Linked DNA regions of Lonchura striata. Each later gene encodes a partner of the first gene's protein in a complex. Links are inferred from orthologs where the notes say so. Each region holds a gene or a part of one and is shown in the gene's direction. Other genes may lie near its edges.

Region 1 (8,637 bases):
ATGATACTCAAGGCGAGGCTGGCCCAGTGCAGAGCAGAGCAGGACAATCCCCTCCCTTGCCTGGCTGGTGATGCTGTGCCTGATGCATCCCAGGACAGGGTTGGCCCTCCTGGCTGCCAGGGCACTGCTGGCTCATATTCAACTTTCCACTGACAAGGACCCCCAGGTCCCTTTCTGTGGCGCTGCTCTCCAGCCTCTCATTCCCCAGGCTGTCCATACATCCAGGATTGCCCCATCCCAGGTGCAGAACCTGGCATTAACCTTTGTTAAACGTCATATAGTTGGTGATTGCCCATCTATCTTGATTTGTCAATGTCCTCTGCAAAGCCTCTTTGCCCTCAAAGGAGTTGACAGCTCCTCCCAGTTTGGTGTTCTCAGCAAATTTATGTCTTTGAGTCCCATGTCCAAGTCTTCAATGAAGACATTGAAAAGAACTGGGCCAAGGATGGAGCCTTGTGGAAGCCCATTAGTGACAGGTTGCCAGCCTGATGTCACCCCATTTACTATAACTCTTTGCACCTGACTTGTGAGCCAGCTGCTCACCCATCATGTCACCTGGTTGTTCAGCTGTGTGCTGGACATTTCTATGAAGGTCTGCCTTGTGTGTTTCTTCATCACTACTCCTTATGCTGGTGCAGGTTCACAGCTTGCACCACCTTCTATTAACACAATCACACTTGTTTGGCAGGAAGGGAGCAGATGTGTTTCACCACTTCTGGGGATCCTGTCAGCCACTGACTTGTCCCCATAGTGCCTGGCATCCTCTTCCTGCCCTACTGTGGTTTGGTGCAGCCTGGTTCTGCTTGTGGGGACTGCCACCAAATTCCAGCATGACACATCATAGCTGGAATAATTTTCACTCTCTCTGGTCCAAGATTTCAAATCTGACATTCACTTGTAGCAGACACTGCAATTTAAGGGGTTAAAATGTCAAATTAATCCCTCCAGTTTTTAAAAACAGTAGCTGAAATTTTCCGTGTGAATCCAGTGTCAGGAAACAACTAAGATAATTGTACCCTATTTGTCAGAGGTTTAGAGTACCTGGTTTTCTTTGTGCATTTGTCTTCTGACTTTTGATGCATTGAATAAAACATTTGTGAAGTGAAGGTCTGGGGTGTTTTTCCTCAGTAGTGGCTGCAGGTGATCTGTACTCAGCATCTGAGGAGTAAGGTTGGTCCTCACACAGGGAGTTTGCTTTGTCATCTGTGCCTAGCCTGGAGCAAAAGGATTCAACAGCATAGGATGTCTTTGTGCAGTTTTCCCTTTCAGGTCTTAGGTTACTGCAACTTCTTAGAACAACATTTATACTTTAGTACAAAAATCAGAACGTTTCTGAAATTACTTCACAGTGGAGCATGCCAGACAGAGAGTTCTGTCTTGGTTGGCTGCTCATCTTTCAGTGAAACTTAATCATCTTTCTTAGGCAGTTTCATTCTCAGTGCCAGCTTGGCTTTTGAGATGCAGCTCCTGTCTTTCTGAGAATGATTTCTGGATGGGCACGTGTTCCTTTACTAGTGATTTGTTGTATTCTGACTTACACACTTTTTTTCTGATTTTTGGATGGGCACATGTTCCTTTACTAGTGATTTGTTGTGTTCTGACTTACACACTTTTTTTTTTGTCTCTCTTCTGCCTTATTGTCTCATCCTATGTTTCTGTCCATCTAGGAGCATGAGAGTCCCTAGATTATTACTACAGCAGGCTGCATTATGTAAGGCTCCCTTCCAAAAGTGAAACTGTACCCTGAAAGTATTTTTAATTCCCATTATGTCTTTTGGATTACTGGCTAACCCTTGTTTCATTTATTCATTTGTTTATGAAGCTGCTAGTCACTAATTGCCACTGTAGAGCTATTACCTTTTATTTTTCTCTTTCTTGGCTAATACATTCCCTAAAACACCTGTTATCCAGTCACAGTTCCCATTCCACCTTCTTTCTTGCATGCTTGCAGCATCTGGTCTAACAACATGCACCAGTTGGTCAGGTTCCTGTGTTGTGTTGCCCAGGCTCCCATTCCAGTTGCTTGTCCCAGGCCACTCCATTGTCCTGGGACTGGCTAAGCATAGTCTTTGCATGAAATGTCACCTTCCAGATGACATGGGCATTGTTATCTACAGGAAGGAACTGGGGTGCTTTGAAGTAAGGTGACCTCTCAGGGCCAGCACACTGTTACTGTTCTCATCTCCTCTCTGGCAATCCTTTTGTTTCCTTTGTAACCGTTTTTCTGTCCTTTTTGTATTAGTTGTGGTGATTTCCCACCACGTGTCCTTTTGTTCCACTTACTGTAACAGGACAGTTGTGAAACAACTCACACCCTTCTTCTTGCCAAGGAGGTCACACCCCCCGCCCCCAACACTGCAAGACTCATGTATCCTCTTATTTATTTCCTCCATTTTTCTGAAGTTTTCTTCTTTCACCCATTGATCCCTTCCTAAAAAACAAACAACCTGTGACTTTGCACTTCTCAATATGTCCAGATTTCTTCTGCCAGTTCTGAATTGCCTGCCCTGCTCTATTGCTCTACAGAAGGGTCTTCACCTCAATACCACCTGCAACTGTTGGCCTTTCCTGCACACACATTTGGTCTCTGAAAAGTACCCCACCTGTATCACTTTTCCTCAGTTTCCTTCCAGAATATCAACTTCTTACAACTGAAATTGGAGAATCAGCTCTATCATTCCTTTTTGAATGTGTTCATGTTTACCACCTTTTTTTTTTTTAACGTCTCTAAGATAAATGCTGTTCCTAACCAAATTCTGTTGTCTCCACTTTCATCAGTGGAGAAAATACCCCCCAAAATACACAAATTGCTTCTTGATATTGTGCAACTGTGTGTGACGTTCAAGCACTGCTGTTCTTGCAGCAAGGAAATGCCTGACCTGTAAGCCCAGCCATGTGCTGAAGTCAGTGACACTGCATTGAGAGCCACCTAAATTGAATCCTTCAAAGCTGATTCTGTTCAAATCCAGAGCTGCAGCTGTTCCCAGCAGCGAGAGTCACTGCAGATAAAAACGCAGGGCTGGAATTCCCCTGCCAGTTACCAAACAATTCTCAGTGGCTGACCTGGTTGCAGTACTGTTGCAGGCTATCCCAGCAGAGAAGTCATCTGACAGGGACTGCGCTCCTCTGGCACAATGGCACACACGGTGATGCCCATGTGTGGAGCAGTTGCAAAGCTACTGCCTCACAGAAGTCTCCAAAGAGCCCCTAAACCTAATCAAAACAAGCTGTGCCGAGTGTCAAAAGGCATTGTGCTACTGTGGTAAGCACATTTCTCTCTCTCAGAATTTTTCGTAGAGGTGCACAGAGGGAAAGAAAGAGAAAACAATTTCTATTTCTAGTCCTTGTTTTTCCTATGTGAAATGTGTTTGGAGAATTGTTTACCTGGGGTGATTGCTTGATTGGATTCTGTGAGAATTGTTTGAACCTGATGGCCAGTCAAATCCACTTGTGTCTGGACTCTCAAGAGGCGGTCACAAGTTGTGAGTTAGTTAGATATGGTAAGTAGAAAAAGTAAGTATGTAGTTTTAGTATCTCCTTTAAATAGTATATTAATATATTATAGTATACTCATAATAAAAAAAAATCATTCAGTCTTCTGAACTAGAGTCAGATGTTATTTCTTCCCACTGGGTTCACCTACATTTACAATATGCTACTTCAGTAAAATACATATAAAGGGGTTTTTCTTCTTTTCTATGTAAAGATACTGTATTTTACTTCAGGAGTCTAGATCTGGTAATTCAGCAGGATGAGACAGGGAATCCATGTTGGGGCAAGAATCACAGTAGGCAAATCTACCAGCATGGCCAAGGATGCTCCTTGGTTTTAAGATTGTGAAATATTTCTTTAAAGGGATTTATACTTTAACTACATCTGTTCAAACAGCATGAGGCAGAATCAGGTTTTCAGTGAACTGAGAAGAAATTCTAGTTGATGAGTATCCCTGCACTGCCATAAAACACCTCTTCAGGTGTGTCAGTAGAACCCATTGGGGAACTGCATGCTGTGGCTGGCTCCCTAACACGTGCTGTGGAGACAGGAACTTCCTGAACTAGTTTCACCACCGCAAATGGATGTATTAAACCACAGCCTTGTTTAAAGTGATGTAACATTTTCATGTGCAGTACAACCTAGAGGACTGCTGCTCCTGGTTTAAGTAAAAGTTTGGAATGATAAGAGAGCAGCAAGCTCAGCTACTGGAACAAAAAAGGGGCTTGTGAAGTCCCTATACACCCATAAACCAGTGTATTTCACAAGCAGCCGTTTCAGACACAAGAGGCAGATAACAAGGAATAATTATCACCCTTAAGGACAGTGCTTAAGGTATTTGGCTGAAGTTTCCATCTAGAGATGTAACACGTCATTTTACCGCTTCCTCCAAAGGCACATGGTGCAGCTTTGCTGTCAGGCACGGAGCTCGTACAGAAACGTGTGTAACCAACACCGCTTGCGTAAGATTAATTCCACATCATTCTCCTGGCCAGGGACCGGCTTTGGCTTCGTGGCGTCCCCAGTGCTTGATTGCCGTTGCAGAAGAGCAATAGATGCTAAACAGGTACTTTGGCGCTGCGGAAATGTTGAAAGGAATTCTGCTACACGGACTTGAGAGAAGCGACAAGTTCTTCACCTGAAAAGCGATTGCTTTAAGCACGGGAGAAGCTGCAGAGGAAACTTCTCAGGCGGGGCTGAAATTAACCAGCACCGCGCTTGTGAACCCGAGCGGAGGCCGAGGCTCGGCGCGGGCTGCGGGGACTGGGCTCTGTGGAGAGGGGGCAGCGCCCCGCCGCTCACAGCCCCGGCTGCGGCACGAGTTTCAGCAGGTTGGACTCGACGACCTCAGAGATTTTTTCTCGACCTGAGTCTGACTCGATGAGCGCCGCAGGGACGCGGCACTGAGGGCGGCGGGACCGGCAGTCAGCCCAGCCCCGCCCTCAGCCCCGCCCTCAGCCCCGCCCTCAGCCCCGCCCTCAGCCCCGCCCTCAGCCCCGCCCTCAGCCCCGCCCTCAGCCCCGCCCTCAGCCCCGCCCTCAGCCCCGCCCTCAGCCCCGCCCTCAGCCCCGCCCTCAGCCCCGCCCCAGCCCAGCCCCGCCCTCAGCCCCGCCCCAGCCCCGCCCCGCCCTCAGCCCCGCCCTCAGCCCCGCCCTCAGCCCCGCCCTCAGCCCCGCCCTCAGCCCCGCCCTCAGCCCCGCCCCAGCCCCGCCCCGCCCCGCGCGGCCCGGAAGCGCTGGCGCGCGCGCCGGAAGCGCGTCCCCCGCGGCCCGGCCAAGATGGCGGCGGATGCCGCCACCGAGCTGCTGTTCCTGGACACGTTCAAGCACCAGAGCGCGGAGGTAAAAGGGCGTTCGGGTTCCGCCTCGCCTCTCACCTCCCTTCCCCTCCTCTCCCTTCTCCTGGGCTACTGCTGGCGCCCCCCTTGCTCGCGCCGGGGCCTGCCGGGAGTGCGGAAGCCCCGCAGGGGCGGGCCCGGCTGCGGTCGGGCAGCAGCAGTCCTGGGGCAGGCCCCTTCGAGGGGGAGCTGCCGCCTCCTTCCCGCTCGCCTGACCCGAAGCCTTGCTCGAGCCGCTGTCCTGGCAGCCTGAGTGCTGCTGGCAGGGGGCGGAGGGTGGTGGGAAAGCAGCGGGGATTTAGAGGTGGCGAGGAATGTAGGCGAGCGGAGAACAAAGAAGATAAACGTGCTTCGAGAAGTCGATATAATGGAAGAAGTTGACTGGAGGGCTATGCCCTGCCGCTTGTGAGATTTCTGATGCTCTTGTGTAGCTGATGATGAGGAGGGATATTTGTGTGTTTGTGAGGTATTCCCTTAGATTTATTTACTTTACACTAAATGAGCGTTTCAAGCTTTTTTGGCAGTGGTAGATCGTGCAAATATTCCACTTTGAGGCTGTTGGGATCCTGAGCATCTTTGAAACTGCTGATCTTGCAGCAGATTTGTCTGGGGCTGTGCTCGATGAAGAATTCAGGGAGGAGGAATGGGACTGTTAGGGGAAAAGTAACATGAGAAAGACGTTCAAATTCATAGAATAACTGGACTGCATTCGTGAATAGGCATTAAGGAAAGAGCTCATGCTGCAATGAAATGCAGTTGAAAAGTTATTCTGGAGTGTTGTAGCTGTCTGGATCAGCTAGGCCCCAATTGTTTTTTAATTCCACTGTTTAAAACAATGTTAGGTGGGGAGTGCTACCCAGTGCTGTTCCCCTGGATAGAAACAGTAGCCACTCTTAGGCCTCTCCAGGGCCCTATGTTCTTTTGTTGAACATTTTAATCTTTAAAAATAATTTTCTCTCACTTTCATTCTTATCAGTGGCATTGTCCAAACCTGAACCTTAGGTTTTTTATGTGTATATTGAAAGTCTTCTTTATGTTAGGCTAATTCTTTGGCTTTGTGGATTATGAATGTTTTACTAGAGCTTACAGCTCTTGAAAAGTACTGCTGTGTTTTTGAATAAAGTAATTTATTTGGCTTAGCTATACAGTTTAGAGTAGTTATTGAGTAGTTCTGATGGAGGGTCTTTTTTAATGTTTTGTAGGAGAAGTGGGTAGAATTCACTTGCTTTGGTGATGTTGGTGCATGGCTGTCAGGCCATAATCCAGTATCATTTAAAGAGGAATTTGTCTTTATGTGGGTGGTGTTCCTAGGGATGAAGCTCCCCAGAGCAGCCCTTTCTCCAGAAATTTGAGCTTCCTGCATGACTCAGATGTTTTTTAGAGACACAGATGAGCTCCTACAACCCTCACTCCATGTAGGCTGCACTCGCCCTGTTGCTGTTCGTGTGTCTGTGCTTCCTGTCCTAGTGGGATTCCTTTGCTTCCACCATCCAGCTTCTACCACATCAGCCCACAGGCCAAGCTGTGTTGTATTGTCTGCAAAAAAATGTCTGCATCGATTTTTTACAAGACAGTAACACATGCTGAAAACCATATCTTAAAAGCGGTTTTAAAACTCCAGTTTGTCTGTTTCATTGCTTACTAGCTTTCTAAAAATTTTAGTACTTGCTTTCTGCTGGTTTAATTTGCTTTCTGATTGTAGTGAAAAAGATACATTTCGACTGCAAATCAATTTGTTTTTTAATTTTAATTTTTTAGTTGTGTTAATAGACAGGTCGGTGGCTTGGGGTTTTTTTCCTATTAGTCTGGTAATTCAGCTTGCTAATTGGAAATGTGATTCTGAACTTCTCTTAAGAAAGTATTTATATGTTTACAATTAAACATAAATTTTATATGTGTACCATTTTATGCGTATAAATATGATAAAAATGATGGATAAATATAATATGATCTAATGCAGTGAATTTAGTGAGAGAAGATGTCCAGCATTAATTTTTTAGTAGCTGCTATATGAAAAGTCACTGTAAGTTTGATAACTTCCTAGTTTGCTCAAACAGCTTTTTGGAGGGTGTAAGAATTCTTTATACTTGATGTTTTATTATTAAGACTGCAATATGTTCTGTTAGTAGAGAATGCAAGACCATGATGTTGTTTGTGTTTTACGTTTCCTAGAATTTGCTTCCTCTTTGTTTTGTAGCAAAGTACCAATATCGATGTGGTTCGTTTTCCATGCGTGGTTTACATAAATGAAGTCCGAGTCATTCCTCCTGGAGTGAGAGCTCACACAAGTTTGCCTGACAACAGGGCTTATGGGTAAGTGAAAGATTCCAGGTATCAGATTCAAGAAAACCTTCCTCTTACTTTTTTCTTGAGCTTTCATCTCTCAATAGACCTTCCTACATAAAAATGTAAAATGTATTTGGGTGTTTGCCAGACTTGTAATTATTTTGGGGCATTCCTTAAATAGGATAATTTTGTGGTTTTTATCTCCTTGGTAGTCCTGCTTACTCTGATAAGGAACTCATCTGATTTTACTTTCATTCTGTTCCTAGAGAGACATCCCCTCATTCATTTCAACTGGACTTGTTTTTCAACAATGTCAGCAAACCAAGTGCCCCTGTGTTTGATCGGCTGGGAAGGTAAGTTCTTTCAAGATTAGTGTGTGACTTCCTTATCTACCTTTAATTCCTGAAAATTTTTAGAGTGCAGAGAATGTGCAATAGAAAATCCTCTATCTCCCATGACTTTCACGTTTGGTTTGGATTTTGCTAGTTTGTGTTCTTGTTCTTTTCATCTCATCTGTGTGGAAGGACAGAGGTTTATGCTTAAAGTAAGAAAAAATTCTGTTATTTTTAAATTTACAGAGTCCATATATATTAATGCCAAGAATTCTGTAGAAATAAGTGATTTTTCTTTCTTGTACGTATTTGTTCAGTGTTTTATTGTTGGCTTGTATGATTACTATTGCTGTGTTTTATTCTGTAAACATGCTTTGTATTAATGGAAATTACTTTGTATTTTCAATTTAACAGCCTTGAATACGATGAAAACACTTCAATTATTTTCAGGCCCAATGCAAAGGTAATGCAGTGTGATTTAAACCTCTTCTTTCTCTGCATATCTGTCATTTAGGTGTAAATATAGTTTCATGTGGTGTGTTAATGCTATGTAAAGTGTTCTAAAACCTGTCTGTAGTTTAGATACTCTTTACTTTAGAGTCTTCTTGTGTTTTTCATGTTGCAGTTTGTTGGGTTTTTATTCGTTAATAGTCTGTAGTAGATTAGGGATCTATATAGTCAATGAATATA
Region 2 (8,212 bases), on another chromosome or scaffold:
TTTTTCCCAGGAAACAGCCAATTTCTGTGGTTCTGCGACCCCCAAGTATCCTGTGGGATGAGCCCAGCCCTGCAGAGGGACCTGGATGCTCAAGTCCCAGGGACACCAGCTGTAATTAGGTGTTTAGATCTAGGCCAGGGGCTCAAGGGCCATCTGGCACCTGAATTATTCATACACTTTTATCTAAGCACAGGCAGAGCAGAGCACAGAGCTCCTTCTCCAGCCTGGGCCCAGGGGAAGATTCCTGCTTGTGCCAGATCGTTTTTCATGGCCTGACAAACGTGATCCTCTCCAGAGCTCCTTCCCAGTGCTGAGATGCCTTTTCCCAGCGCCAATTCTGCTCCAAAGCACACCAGTGCTGCCAGAGATCCATGCAGAGCCACAGAGATCCACATCACCAGCAGCTGATGCGGAGGTGGAAAAATCCAGGAGGAGAAGTCTCCCCTTGGAAGGAGCAGTTCAGGAGGAATGAAATCAGATTAAATGTCTATCAGGAGGGCCCCGTTCCTGTGGTGATGTGGCCCAGTGCTCCCCCACAAGGTGTCTTTTACCCTGTGACTCATCTGCTGAGGAATTTTAATCCCTGTCTTTCTCTCCCAACCCCGGGCACCATTGGGAAGAGAGGACCTTGGAGACAGAAGTCTCTATCATTTGTTGTTAACATGATGCATTTCTTCTTCAGCCATGGATGGAGCTGTGCCAGGTTTTACCAGATGTAACAAAAAAATTTCAGATGAAGCTGAAATATGGCACATTATGGCTTTCTGTGCACTTTTCTCTCACCTTATTGAGTGATTCCTCAGCTCCTCAGAGCAACCTGGGCTAGTGGAAGGTGCCCCTCCCCACAGCAGGGGTGGAAGGAGATGGGCTTTCAGGTCCTCCCAACCCAAACCAGTCTGTGGTTCCATAATCCTATAGGCACAATCGGAGATGCAGGAAGGAGCTGGAGGGGGAGGATCTCTGCATGGGATGTGGGGGCATCGGATCCAGACTGCAGTGAGGCTTTCTTCTTGTACACTGGGATATTCTGCTCCCTAAAACCTGCTGGCTGCTGCTTCTCATTCCTCAGTCAACTCCAACCCGCCTTCCAAAACCTTTTTTAGCAGTTCTGAAAGGGAAGTATTGCTGTCAAGCAGTACCACCTTGACAGAATAACAACCTTTCCAGAGGGAAACCAGAATTCCTGAGTCTATCCTTCAGCTGTGTCTCTATGGGAAGCAGCTGGATCCAGCCGGGAGCAGCAGCTGGGACAAGCCCTGTGACAGATCCACGGATCAGCTGTGGCTCCTCCCGCACACGTCTTCGTGTCACTTCACCTGATCACATCCACCCAACTGCATCTGTGTCCCTCAGCTTCCCCATGATGATCCACACACACCGAGCTCCTGAGCCACCACAGCTCTGGCTCTGCTGGGTTCAGGTTGTTCCACAGAGAGTCTCAGTTTCAGAAGCTTGGTGTATGTTCCAAACACAATTCCTGTCACTCCAAGGTCTGTACTTAAATATCATGGAGCATCCAGTTCTGCTGCCCCCAACATTAGAAGGATTTGGAGCTGTTGGAGTGAGCCCAGAGAAGGCTGTGAAGTTGTTGAAAGAACTGGAGCGTCTCCACCATGCAGACAGTCTGGGAGAGCTGGGAATGCTCGGCCTGGAGAAGAGAAGGCTCTGGGGAGACCTTAGAGCACCTTCCAGGGACTAAAGAGACTCCAGGAGAGCTGGAGAGGGACTGGGGACAAGGGACTGGCAGGACAGGATAAGAGAGAATGGCTTCCCACTGCCGAGGGCAGGGTTAGGTGGGATATTGGGAAGGAATTGTTCCCTGTGAGGGTGCTGAGGCCCTGGCACAGGGTGTCCAGAGCAGCTGTGGCTGCCCCTGGATCCCTGGAAGTGTCCAAGGCCAGGCTGGACAGGGCTTGGAACACCCTGGGTTAGTGGAAGGTGTCCCTGCCCATGGCAGGGGGTGGCAGTGGATGGGCTTGAAGGTCCTTTCCAAACCAGTCTGGGATCCTGTGACCCACTTGCAGCCAGTTGCTCGTGGGCTTCCCCAGGCCTCAGCACTGGGGCTGGTCCTGTTCTGTCTCTTTATCCACGATCTGGATAAGGGGGTCAAGGGCACCCTTTTCAGTGCACAGACAACACCAAGTTGAGTGGATCTGTGGATCTCCTGGAGGGCAGGAAGGTTCTGCAGAGGGATCTGAACAGGTTGGATCCATGGGCTGAGGGTCAACAAGGCCAAGTGCCAGGTCCTGCCTTTGGATCACAACAGCCCCTTGGAACACTCCAGGCCAGGGCAGGGTGGATGGAAAGCTGGAAAAGAACCTGGGGGTGCTGGTGACAGCTGCTGGACACGAGCCCAGGTGTGCCTGGGGACAGCAAGGCTGAAGGCACCTGCCTTGGATCAGGAACAGTGTGTGCAGCAGGCCCAGGGCAGTGACTGTCCCTCTGTTCCTGCTCAGACCTCACCTCCAGTGCTGGGGTCAGTTTTGGGTTTCTCATGACAAGAAGGACATTGAGGGGCTGGAGCACCAGGGTTTAGAAGGTGAAATTAAGAATTTGGAGAGTGAAATTGGGGATTGGGGAGGTCAAACTAGGGTTTAGTGGGGTGAAGTTTGGGGGATTAATTTTGGGTTCGGGTGGAGAAATGAGAGTTTGGAGGGCCTGACATGAATGTTTAGAGTGTGAAATTGGGGGTTGGATGAATCCACCTTGGTTGTGAAACTGGAGGGTTGAGCGTGAAATTTGTTTGGCTGTTGAAATCAGGGTTTTAATGGGAACAATGGTGTGTAGGGGGATGATCTATGGGATTGTAGGATGCAGGAGCAGGAGTTCCAGCTGGGTTGAGGGACCCAGTCCTGCCCGAGCTTTCTCCTCCTTTGAACTTTTTCCCATCGACATTTCCCACAGGCAGAGCAGGGCAGGAGAAAGAGGAGGAAGCGCCCAGGGCCCCAGGTGGCAGCGGGATCCTCAGAAAACACAGGGATTATGGAAAGATCCTCAGAAAACACAGGGATTATGGAAGGATCCTCACAAAACACAGGGATTACGGAGGGATTCTCACAAAACACACAGATCAGAGGCGCTCCTGTTCCACGGGAGCTGGAATTCCCTGAGGCCTCCTCACCTCAGACCTAACCCGAACTCATCTCCGAGAGCCTCCGAGCTCCAACTCCCCAGGGAAACATGGCGAGAGCAGGAATGTACCAGGATAACCGCTGTGATGTGCAGCTTTAAACGGGAAATATCTCAAGAAACGGTTTGCTGGCCCGGAGCAGGAGTGCCCGTGTTCTCAGGCAGTTCCTGCAGGTCCGCAGGGCTCCAGAGCCGGCAGAGCAGCGCGGGGAGCCGCAGCCTCATGCGGGCTGCACAAGCAAACAGGGAGAGCGTGAGGCAGGCACTGAACGCAGCCGAGCTCCCCTCGCTCGCCCCGCGGTGGGTTCAGCCCAGCCCGGCGGGCGCACTGGCGGGCTGAGGACGGACACACGGAGCACCGCCGCACCTCCGCCCCGCACCACCGCCCGCCGCGCTCTGAGCCCTCAGGCACCGCCGTACCGCGAGCTCTGCCCGGGGACCGCCCCCCTCCCCGCGGCGACCAATCGGAGCCAGAACAAGCCTGAGTGATTTTTGCCTTAGCCAATCAGCACTCTGCCTGTCTGCGCCCAATCAGACGCCAGGGGACGTTTTCTCGCCCAATGAGAAACCAGAAACAGAGTTGCGGGAGCGGGGCGCGCTCCTTCATGAGCGGCGTATGGATCAGCCAATCACATCAGTGCGATGGGTTGCTAAGTGACCAATGAGGAAAGGGGGCGGGGGCAGAGCAACTCGCGAGAGTTTGAGGGGTGCGATGGGAACTCGCATCTAAGCGGGAGAGCCAATGGCACAGGGCGAGGCGGGGCCGCAGAACGATTATTGTAACTGGCGGCCAGGAGAGCCAATCAGCAGGCAGAGCTAAGTTCGGCCCATTGTTCAATGGGCAGCGAAAATCCTCCCATGGTTGAACAGCCACGATTGACAGGTAGCACCATCCAATGAGATCGCCGCGCCCTTTCTAACTGCCCAATGAGCGAGCGGGGCTGGGAGGCGCGCGACGGCGGCAATTCCCGCCCCCCCCGCGGGAGCACGGGGCTGGCTGGCAGACCGACAGCGCGGCGGACCAATGGGAACGCGCAGCGCCAGGAGGTGGGCGGAGCACCCCCGCAGCGGCGGCCAATGGGCGAGGGCACCGCCCTGGGCAGCCAATGGGCGCGGGGAGGGCGGCGCGCGGTGCCGGCGCGGCTCCAAGATGGCGGCGGGTGCGTGAGCGGGGCGGTCGGGGAGGCCCGGCGGGAGCGCGGCCGCCGCCGCCATGAAGGGCAAGGAGCGCTCGCCCGCCAAGGCCAAGCGCTCCCGGGGCGGCGAGGACTCGGCGTCCTCCTCCTCCTCCTCGCGCGGCAGCAAGAAGCCGAGCGGCTCGTCCGGCGGAGGCGGCGGCTCCAACGGCGGGAAAGCGGCGGCGGCGTCCGGCGAGAGCAACAGCGGGAGCGGCCGGCGCGGCGCCCACGCGGACAAGGGCGGCCGCGCCGGCAGCCGCGAGTACGAGACCGGTTCGGCGGCGGCCGCGGGCGGCGGGGGCCGGCACGGCTACAGCGGTAAAACCGCGGAGGCGTCGCGAAGCAGCAGCAGCCGCGGCGGCGAATCGCGAGCGGCCGCCGCCGCCTCCTCCTCCTCCTCCTCGTCGGAGCCGGGCGGCGGCGAGTACAAGACGCTGAAGATCAGCGAGCTGGGCTCGGCGCTGAGCGACGAGGCGGTGGAGGACGGGCTGTTCCACGAGTTCAAGCGCTTCGGCGACGTGAGCGTCAAGATCAGCCGGCTCCCACCCGGCGCCGGCGCCGCCGACGAGCGCGTGGCCTTCGTCAACTTCCGGCGGCCCGAGGACGCGCGCGCCGCCAAGCACGCCCGCGGCCGCCTCGTGCTCTACGACCGCCCGCTGAAGATCGAGGCCGTCTATGTCGGCGGAGGCAGCGGCCGCCGGCGCAGCAGCCGCTCCCCGGCGCTGCTGGACAAGGAGTCTCCCTACGGCGCGGCGGCGGTCGGGGCGGTGGCGGCCGCCGTGCGGCACCCGCCGGCCGGGGCCGCGCAGCGGGCGCTGTCCCCCGCGGGCAGCGGAGGAGCTTTGGGCTACCGGGACTACCGGCTGCAGCAGCTCGCCCTGGGCCGGCTGCCGCCGCCGCCGCTGCCGAGGGAGCTGGAGAGGGAGCGGGACTACGGCGGCTTCTACGAGGCGCGGGTGCGGCCGGCCTACGGGCTGGAGCGCGTGGCCGGCGTGGCGGCAGCCGGGGGATTCCGCGGAGGAGGAGGAGGAGGTGCCGGAGCGGCCGCCGAGGAGGAGATCAGCCCCGAGGATGACCAGAGAGCCAACCGCACGCTGTTCCTGGGCAACCTGGACATCACCGTGAGCGAGTCGGACCTGCGGCGAGCGTTCGACCGTTTCGGGGTCATCACTGAGGTGGACATCAAGAGGCCGGGGCGTGGGCAGACCAGCACCTATGGGTTTCTTAAGTTTGAGAATCTGGACATGGCGCACCGGGCCAAGTTGGCCATGTCGGGGAAGGTGCTGCTGCGCAACCCCATCAAGATCGGGTACGGGAAAGCCACCCCGACCACCCGGCTCTGGGTGGGCGGCCTCGGGCCCTGGGTGCCCCTGGCTGCCCTGGCCAGGGAGTTTGATCGGTTTGGCACCATCCGCACGATCGATTACCGCAAAGGGGATTCCTGGGCCTATATCCAGTACGAGAGCCTGGACGCGGCGCAGGCAGCCTGCACCCACATGCGGGGCTTTCCCCTGGGGGGGCCGGATCGCCGGCTCCGCGTAGACTTTGCCGACACAGAGCATCGGTACCAGCAGCCCTACCTGCAGCCCCTGCCCTTGCCGCCCCCGGCTCATTACGAGCTTGTGGCGGAGGCGGCTGCTTTTGGGGCTCACCGGGGAGCCCCCCCTGACCCTCTCCGGGGGGCCCGGGACAGGACGCCACCGTTGCTCTATAGAGACCGTGACAGAGACCTTTATCCTGAGACAGAGTGGGTGCCCCCGCCGCCCCCTGTGCGGGATCGGAGTAATCGGGCAGCTGCCTATGACCCACTGGAAAGCCTGGAGCGCCGCCGGGATGGGTGGTCCTTGGAGCGGGACCGCGGGGAGAGGGAGCTGGGCAGTAGCAGTAGGGATCAGCCTAGGAAACGGAGGCTGGCGGAGGATGGAGGCCGGCACTTGGACCGTTCCCCTGACAGCGAGCGCTCCTCTTCCTCCCGAAAGCGCCACTGCTTGGCCACAACCTCTCCCCCGGACCGCAGCCCCGAGCTCCTGGGAGGCCGGGAGCGTTACAGTAGTGACCCTGAGCGCTCGTCCCGCTTGCTCCTCTTGGAGCGACCTTCCCCCATCCGGGAGTCCCGCCGGGGCAGCCTGGAGCGGGGGCAGAACGAAAAGCGCGACCGCAAGAACTCCGCAGAGCGGGAGCGCAAGCACCGCGCCGCCGCTGCCGCCCAGGAGTGCAAAAGTCCGGCCAAAAAGGACGAGCGGGCGGCGGATGGAGGTGGCGGAGGCTCCCGGCTCAAACCTCCTCCCCAAAAACAGCAGCAGGATGGAGCAGCGCAGGCTGGGGCAGCGCCCAAACTGTGCCTGGCTTGGCAGGGGATGCTCCTGCTGAAGAACAGCAACTTCCCGTCCAACATGCACCTGCTCCAGGGGGACCTCGGAGTCGCCAGCAGCCTCCTCGTGGAGGGAGCGACTGGGGGGAAAGTGGCTCAGCTCAAGATCACCCAACGTCTCCGTCTGGACCAGCCCAAGTTGGACGAGGTCAACCGGCGCATCAAGGTGGCGGGTCCCAATGGATACGCCATCCTTCTGGCCGTGCCCGGCGCCTCAGACAACCGCTCCGCAGCCGGAGCCGCCGAGGCCGCCACCACCTCCACGCAGAGGCCGCTCAGGAATCTGGTGTCCTACCTAAAGCAAAAGCAGGCTGCTGGGGTGATCAGCCTCCCTGTGGGGGGGAACAAAGACAAGGAGAACAGCGGGGTCCTGCACGCCTTTCCGCCCTGCGACTTCTCCCAGCAGTTCCTGGACTCCACGGCCAAGGCGCTGGCCAAATCAGAGGACGACTATCTGGTCATGATCATTGTCCGTGGGGCGTCCTAAGGCCCTCGTGTTCTGTTCCCAACCCTGCCTACTCCTCCATGCAGCCCCTCCAGCGTGTGCCAGGTGCTATGGGATACAGCCTTAGCCAGCCCTGTCGTTATTTTAAATAGATCTTTGTTTGTAGGTGACTCTCCCGGGCCGATTTTCTGTTACTACATTTTTCTATAAAGATAGAAGCCAGAGAGGTTGGTTAGGAGTAGTGTGAATAGGATATTTTGAGAATTTCCTATCAGTGGGGACAGCAGGGAGGCTCAGCCTGCTTTGATTTACAGAAAATAGAAAAATAATAAAAACTGGGGTGGGGGGGGAGGGGGGGAAAGAAAAACTCCTGTCTTCTTAATTTAGATTCATGTCCTTTTTTCATTTCATGTATTTTAAAGCAAGTCCCAAGAGCTCGTCCTCGAGAGAGCTCCAAACCGAACAGACCAGATTTAAAGCACTCAGTGGAAATGGAAATCCATACTTTAATAACAGACTTGGTGTCACCTCCTCTCTTGAGTCCTTGAAATTCCGTGTGGGCCTCAGGCCAGCGGCGCTTTGGCCCGTGGGATCCCTTCCCTCGGGAGCCGCAGTGGTTTCCCCGTTGAGTCGCGTGGCTCAGGTCGACGTTTTTCAGGTGAGCAGCAGCTGCTCTTGGGTGCACAGCAGAACACTGAATTCCTTTTTGGAAAGGGATTCCTTTTTCATCCAGCCCCCCCAGGTGCATGCACTGAAACTGGGCTTTTTAACAGGTGTATTTCCCCGATTTCCCAGTGTATCCCATATGTGCACTTTGGGTTTGTAGCAGTGACTAGGTTTGGTGAAGAGCTGAGGACTTTGTTGCAAACCAGGAATGTCTTGTGCTCACTCTGGTGTGCAGGAAACAAGGAGGTGCTTTAAGGAGAACTTGAGTTATATTGTGGGGTTTTGATTTTACTGCCTTTTTTTTTTTTTTGTTTTGTTTTGTTTTCCAAGAGTTGCAAGTTCAGTGGGGTTTGGTTCCACAATGCAAACTGAGCAAGTAAGTGCTTCTCTCCAGAGATGCTTTTCATTCTGTGATAATTTAAT

The links.
Region 2: VIRMA (region 1) and RBM15 share a complex: the UniProt entries of both Homo sapiens proteins name them as parts of the WMM complex. The link is inferred for Lonchura striata from reciprocal best matches to the Homo sapiens genes VIRMA and RBM15.

What each region holds. Positions count from the first base shown.
Region 1 is NC_134603.1:24,170,220-24,178,856, forward strand, and holds the start of VIRMA (protein virilizer homolog), read left to right. Parts: upstream 1-5,218; 5' UTR 5,219-5,270; coding exon 5,271-5,333; intron 5,334-7,526; coding exon 7,527-7,642; intron 7,643-7,881; coding exon 7,882-7,968; intron 7,969-8,361; coding exon 8,362-8,410; intron 8,411-8,637. UniProt on the Homo sapiens protein: Associated component of the WMM complex, a complex that mediates N6-methyladenosine (m6A) methylation of RNAs, a modification that plays a role in the efficiency of mRNA splicing and RNA processing.
Region 2 is NC_134632.1:1,364,153-1,372,364, forward strand, and holds RBM15 (RNA-binding protein 15), read left to right. Parts: upstream 1-4,342; coding exon 4,343-7,165; 3' UTR 7,166-7,457; downstream 7,458-8,212. UniProt on the Homo sapiens protein: RNA-binding protein that acts as a key regulator of N6-methyladenosine (m6A) methylation of RNAs, thereby regulating different processes, such as hematopoietic cell homeostasis, alternative splicing of mRNAs and X chromosome inactivation mediated by Xist RNA.